2 linked regions of the Saccharomyces cerevisiae S288C genome follow. The protein of the gene in region 1 interacts with the protein of each later gene in a pairwise test. Each region holds a gene or a part of one and is shown on either strand. Other genes may lie near its edges. The genes, in order: URK1 and OSI1.

Evidence for each region.
Region 2: the proteins of URK1 (region 1) and OSI1 interact in a two-hybrid assay, tested with the Saccharomyces cerevisiae proteins (one large-scale study listed by BioGRID).

Annotation. Positions count from the first base shown.
Region 1 is NC_001146.8:645,727-649,704, reverse strand, and holds URK1 (uridine kinase URK1), read right to left. Parts: upstream 2,274-3,978; coding exon 768-2,273; downstream 1-767. Other genes in the region: PHO91 (Pho91p), read left to right, coding at 1-677; DEAH-box RNA-dependent ATPase PRP2, read left to right, coding at 2,755-3,978. UniProt on the Saccharomyces cerevisiae protein: Catalyzes the conversion of uridine into UMP and cytidine into CMP in the pyrimidine salvage pathway.
Region 2 is NC_001143.9:302,813-306,400, reverse strand, and holds OSI1 (Osi1p), read right to left. Parts: upstream 1,288-3,588; coding exon 517-1,287; downstream 1-516. Other genes in the region: YKL070W (uncharacterized protein), read right to left, coding at 1-190.

The sequences.
Region 1 (3,978 bases):
TGAAAATTTTGCAATTGCATCCATCCCGTGATCCATTCACTCTGAAGCAATGGTTTGTCACTTTAGTTTGCATTATAACAATTGTTCTTTGGTGTCTTTCAAACCAAATCTCCGGTATCTTTGGTGAAATGGGAATCATATCTATTATACCTATAGTAGTCTTCTTCGGTACAGGTCTTCTAACTTCGGATGATTTCAATAATTTCATGTGGACAATCGTTGTTTTGGCCATGGGAGGTACCACCCTAGGTAAGGCGGTAAGCTCATCCGGTTTATTGTCTACAATGGCACAGTTAATTAAGGCGCAGGTTGAGCATGAACCAATCTTCATTATTGTGTTGATCTTCGGTCTAGTGATTCTTGTAATGGCCACTTTTGTCTCCCATACCGTCGCGGCAATGATCATCGTACCATTAATGAGTGAGATCGGTTCCAATCTACCTTCAGGTGATCATTCTAGACTATTGATCGTTATAGCCGCCCTATTATGCTCTAGTGCTATGGGTCTTCCAACCTCTGGTTTCCCCAACGTGACTGCCATTTCAATGATTGATGAAGTTGGTGATAGATATTTGACCGTGGGTACATTTATTACGAGAGGTGTACCAGCCAGTTTGTTAAGTTATGCCGCTATTGTTACAGTAGGTTATGGCATATTGAAAGTAATGGGATTTTAAGATTATCCATAGAGAGAATGAAAGGTTACTAATATAGTATGTATACGTGCACTATTATTTAATTTTACTTTATATTGCCTCTAATTATTCTCAATCACAACCAAAATACTTTGAATCAAAAAATCTGGTCAATGCCCATTTGTATTGATGATTTTGTAACTTTTCTCTGGAGATGATCATACCAGCAAAAATGTTGACTTTGTTATCAAATGCATTTAATATACGTCGGATACCAACTTCAGTGGCCAAATAAACCACCACGCTAATCTTTTCCAAATCAATACCATGATCTAAAAGCACCTGGATGGCCATGATCATGGCCGCACCACTTATGATTTGACCTTCCATTAAGAAAACCTTGCCAAACTTTTCTATATTTGGGGGTAAAAATTCGCAATGCAGTTGAGGTTCCCCAGTTTGTGAATCGGACTGAATCAACAATTTACCAATTGTGATATTGGGGATCGTCTTTCTCAAAGACTTCATAAAACAATCGCCAGATCGAATAATATTAACAGCTGTAACTTGATCGAATTGACAGGCAATAACGTTTTCCATGGTATGCTCACCAGGTGTAATTATGTTCGTATGTGCTACAGGAATGTCATCAAGTGCCCATGATAACAAAATTGTTGCTAACCTGTCAAAGTAGAAAACAAAGTCCGCGCAATTTAGATTTTTATTTAGAAGCATAGTATGCAGCGAAAGAACTTGGTTGGTGGGCGGCAATTCATGAATTATGTTACGATTAAGCACATCTTGTGAAGGAGAAGAGCCCAATTTGATTAGCTCTCTTAAGTGTTCATTTGATTTTAGTTCCAGTTTTGACTTGATGTGGTTAATGATTAAATTTACCGCTGTAGCATTATCACTCATCGATGGAATGATAGCATCTGCATTCTTCATTGTTGGTTTCACAAACTTTACCGCATTTGGTTTCACAAATTTCTCCCATTGTTGAATACAACCATCCAAATCTCTCCCTCTGGAAACTATATCTCTCGACAATCTTCTTGCTAAGCAGACATCCAAATCAGCGTCAACATAAATTTTCAAGTCCATCAAATCCAGCAATCGGCGATCGTAAAGGGCGTAGATCCCTTCGATAACTACCACACTGGCCCCGTATATGACTATATTTTTATCAGGAACTCTATTGTGGTGGACGAAGCTATAAACTGGGATATTTGTCCTTTTGCCCTCCTTTAAGTTCAAAATGCACTTATATGCCAAATCTAAGTTGATGGCATTTGGCTCGTCGAAATCGTATTCATTTTTAAAGGCTCTGGCTCTGTCCTCTGGGCCTAATGGATTGTAAAAGTTATCCAAAGATATTAATACTGTCCAGGGAACATTAATTGACGACACAATCTTAGCAGCAACGCTTGTCTTGCCTGAACCTGAAGCACCACCTATACCTATTATATATGGAGTTGTCCATGGTGGGATATACCGAGAGCTTTTTCCTTTTGTTTTTTTGACATCTACTTCACCATCCATGACTGCATTAGCTTTCAATGTGTCTCTTGTTTCATCGTCTAAAATTGAAATAAATGATGAAGATCGTTCTTTGGAAGGTGCTATACGATGGGACATAATAAATAAAATAAATGCGAGTTCGAAATTAAACGTATGAAATTATCGAAGATGTCGCATATAAATAGTAAATAAGACGTTATCCAAGGCCTACAGCCTTACGAAAAAAAAAAAAAATCACATCTCTTATCTTATCGATCTAAATTTTTCAGTTTCCTTTTTTCATCTCGAAGCTCATCGCATGAAAAAAAAACTTCGATATGTGAGCGTATTAAGACAATAGAGGAAATAGTGAGAACAAGTGGGAAAATTAAAGACTAATCATCGAAAATATGCAAGAATTCTTTAAGTGCTCGTATCTCAAATGTAGCCAAAACAGTACTAGCCCATACAACCTGATGACGAGAACGTGCTGAAAGTGGAAGACAGTTAGTTACCCGGACAATTAAAAAGTGATATTAATCAATTGTATAAGTAATAACGGATAGCTGCTATATGTTTAATTGGCATCTATATAGATAACAAGCGTGTATAGCAACACATGTCAAGTATTACATCTGAAACCGGTAAGCGAAGAGTGAAACGAACGTATGAAGTTACAAGACAGAATGACAATGCAGTAAGAATAGAGCCTTCTTCCTTGGGTGAGGAAGAAGACAAAGAGGCCAAGGATAAGAACTCTGCCTTGCAGCTAAAACGATCACGCTATGACCCCAATAAAGTTTTTTCTAATACGAACCAAGGTCCAGAAAAGAACAATTTAAAAGGAGAACAACTTGGATCACAAAAAAAGTCATCAAAGTATGATGAAAAAATAACGTCAAATAATGAACTTACTACAAAGAAGGGTCTACTAGGTGACTCCGAGAATGAAACTAAGTACGCCTCTTCTAATTCTAAATTTAACGTAGAAGTTACTCATAAAATAAAGAATGCAAAAGAAATTGACAAAATAAACAGACAACGCATGTGGGAAGAACAACAATTGCGAAATGCTATGGCGGGGCAAAGCGATCACCCTGATGATATAACATTGGAAGGCTCTGACAAGTACGATTATGTGTTCGACACAGATGCAATGATTGATTATACTAATGAGGAGGACGATTTACTACCTGAAGAGAAACTTCAATATGAGGCACGTCTAGCACAAGCTTTAGAAACTGAGGAAAAGCGTATACTGACTATACAAGAGGCAAGAAAACTTTTGCCTGTACATCAATACAAGGATGAGCTACTACAAGAGATCAAAAAAAATCAAGTTTTGATTATAATGGGTGAAACCGGTTCTGGTAAAACCACACAGTTACCCCAATATTTGGTAGAAGATGGATTCACTGATCAGGGAAAGTTACAGATTGCCATAACACAACCACGTCGTGTGGCGGCCACTTCTGTTGCTGCAAGAGTAGCAGATGAAATGAATGTTGTGCTTGGGAAGGAAGTGGGTTATCAGATCCGTTTTGAAGACAAAACAACCCCAAATAAAACGGTTCTAAAGTATATGACGGATGGTATGTTACTAAGAGAATTTCTTACAGATTCCAAATTAAGCAAATATTCTTGTATTATGATTGATGAAGCTCATGAACGTACTCTAGCCACAGATATCCTGATAGGTTTGCTGAAAGATATTTTGCCGCAGAGGCCCACTTTAAAATTGCTTATATCATCAGCAACAATGAACGCAAAAAAATTTTCAGAGTTTTTTGATAATTGTCCCATTTTCAACGTTCCTGGGAGAAGATATCCTGTAGATATCCAC
Region 2 (3,588 bases), on another chromosome or scaffold:
ACTCCACGAATACAAATGGAATATGTGATGCGCACATACCAAAATCGGGGTCATCTTTATTGGAAGAAGTTCTCCATCCGAAGAAACCTTGCCTGCTAGCCTTAGAGGAGAATAGTGTTCCTAGCGGGGGTTTTTTTGATAATTTGTACCTTGAGAGTTCCATGGACTCAAAATGTTTAGGAATGTACATTATGAAATAGATTCTTGGATTCTTCTCAGACTGGCAATTTATGTCTATAATATTAAGGGATGGTTTTCGGCGAATATGCAGAATCTTCGGTTCTAGGACCAGTTATATACCATCCTAATTAAAATCAGAGGACATAATAGAGATAGTTTCAAATCTGGTTAAGCGTTAAAAGATCAGCATACAAAGTGATGCCACAAAATACCTTCTTAAAGGGGCGTGAGGCAAAAGCAAAGTCACATCATATAGCACCTACCAATAAAAAAGTGTATTACACAAAGGTATATTCCGTATCTGAGTTGTATATAAGTAGCCAAATTTGCACTTATCTAAAAGACGCCTTCGCTGCCGTCATAGTTGAAGAACTTTCCATTATCTTCTGGTAAAATTTTTCGGAAGACATCAATTAGCGCAGAGGCACTTTCTTCTGGTGTGATAATATTTACGCCGCTGATGTCTATATTCTTCTCTTTAAAATGATCAAGGCCATATTGGCCCATATCAGTAGATACCATACCTGGGTGAAAAGCAACGACAGTAAAACCCTCCGGTTTCAATTCAAAACTGAGCGTCTTTACCGCATAATTCAAGGCAGCTTTCGATTGACCATAAGCGGAAACAGAAAGTGGTACAAACGCATTGATAGATCCTGCAACACTAGAGATAAAGAATATCTTCCTCGTCTTTTTCAAAAGAAGCAGTGGATAAACTTTTTGAAGGGCTAGTATCGGACCCAGAGCGTTTGTGCTATAATGGTTGAGCCAGACTGATTTGGGAGTTTCCAGGACCTTGTAATAAGAATCAGATACTGCAGAACATGCGATAAAAATATCAATACCCAAGAAGAATGGCGTTTTCTTGATCTCGTCCGCAATATTGCCAATACTTTCGTCCTTTGTAAGGTCAAGTTGGACAATATGGATATTCTTCCTGATTTTTGCTAAATCTTCCACTTGTTTGTTCTTGGGTAATGAAGGTGATCCACGAATAGAGGTTATAACTGTATTGCCCGTAGAAGCGCTTAAAATTTTGACCAAATTAAAACCAATTCCACGGCTACCACCGATGATAAAGTAAGTTATTCTTGATGAAGTATTCATATCGACTTTGTTTGCTTAGAATTCTACTGATTTATGCCACTGGTAAAGGCTTTATTCTTAAAAACGTCAAAAATTAGTTTTGAAGCATCGCCGCCTATTTATTATAACTGGTATACTATCTTACTTATTAGTACTACCATTTATACCGCTATGCATTACTAATCACATTACTAATCTCATTACTAATCTCATTACTAATCTCATTGCTAATCTCATTACTAATCTCATTACAAATAACTTTCTATTGAGGTATTTCTAGGGAATTGCGAAGTTGGTTTGCTTTTTATGAGACCCGCGGACGTTAATCGAAGATATAATCCACGGAAAAATTATATGTCCTGCAATTTGTGCACAGTATATTAATCGGGAACATATATGATTAGATTATTGCAAGTCATGCAAGCTAAAGTAAAACAAGCAATATCAGGAGCTCATAGATATATCATGCACACATCAGGTAGAAGATAGGAAATTATAGAAGATCTGAAGAAATTAGAAGAACTAAGCTCGACTAGCCTAATAGGAAAATGGTGTCCCTTATTTAACCTGAGAAACCAATATTTCGTAGTATCTTCTTTTTTTCTTCCATGGTAATGAGTCCAACAAACTTTGAGCTTCTAAAAAATATAAACTCCAAATGAACCTGATCAGGACAAATGTTCTCTAGGGTAGTTAGATACAAAACCTTTCGGATGAGGGATTTCTTATCCTAGCTATTTAATGAAGCAAAATAAAGCTGTTTCAAAAAGCTTAAGTGTTTGTACTTTTTTTTACCAGGTTAAAGAAACAGGAATAATTATTCGTAGAATTGCAAAATTTTTTATTGACGTACTTGTTTCTATTTTTTGAATAGTCAGTTCTTCGGAAGGCATTCAATAAGAGCCCAATATAAGGGTAAGGTGCACTTTTATACAAGCTGGCCAAAAAAACCGGGAAATGGCAAAAGTTCGAACTATTGTTTCATAGGTACTATTAAATCCTTTCATTTGGTAAAGAAAGGTGCTTGAATGACTTTGCAGACTATTTCTGTTTCCTACCGAATAAATTAGGTGCGCTTTAACGCGCAGTGATGTGTAGATCAATTGAAATGGGGAACTTGCTTATTGAATACAGGATTAAAGAGGAAATGGTACGGTACATTTTTGGATTTTGCCATAACTCACGATAAACTGTGGATGGCTGCATCAAAAGATGGAGAGTTGCTAGATGACCGTCACGTCTGCGTAGTCTCTTCACAACATGTTTTATTGACTTGGTTGATGCTATTGTAGTGATTAAAGAGAACGAGAGATAACGCAAATCAAAATTTTATGTTGTGACATTTGGAAATTGAAGGAATACTTATCTTCGAAAAGCCGGAGCAATGCTTTTACCTCGCTAGAAATAGCATGTCATGTAACATGGTAATGTTAGCTTTATAAATAACCGCGCTATTTAGTAGGCTACTACAATTAACTCCCAGACTTCAAATTAGTCAGAAATGTAATACAATGTTGTGTAACGTTAGTCATATGTTATAATTTGTATTCTCGCAGTAGAGGTAATTCACGATCTTAGGATTTGCGCATGTTTATGATCATAATGTCAAAATAAACTACGTAATGCGTAATTTTAAATAGTTCTTTTGCCCAAAGTAAATGCGCATTATTATAGCATTCGTTGATGTTTCCAGTATTATTGCGATAATACTGGGGCCTGTCCATGAAGTTTTAATAGCAAGTGGCTTAGCAAATATTCTAAAAATTGAGATGGTCACATAACGTGAAAACTCTAAATTCGCGGCAGGAAGTCGGTTCTTTATCCTATGTGATTCGATGTGGAGGCAATTACCTATCTATAATATATGAAAGTTGCTGTATACTTATATAAGCCATTTATAATATGCAAAAGGCGGTAACGATATGCCGCGCAAATCAAAATCCAGATTGAAACAAGAAATAATGATTAAGATATACTATCAGTAACACGACAAAGGTAAGGAAATTCCAGTAACTGAGGCTATTTCATCAACCTAAGTACATCATTTTCAAGAAAAGAAGAAATACTTTATTTAGAGTGTGGAGCGCTAAATGTATGGCAAAAAAAGAAAATGAAACGGACAGGAATTGAACCTGCAACCCTTCGATTGCAATCTTATTCCGTGGAATTTCCAAGATTTAATTGGAGTCGAAAGCTCTACCATTGAGCCACCGCTTCATCTTGGAATATTCACGTTTTAAAATAGGATAGATCACCTCAAACAATGACGACTATATCTGAAAAGAGCAGAGATAACAGTGTTCTATGAAGATAAAATACAAG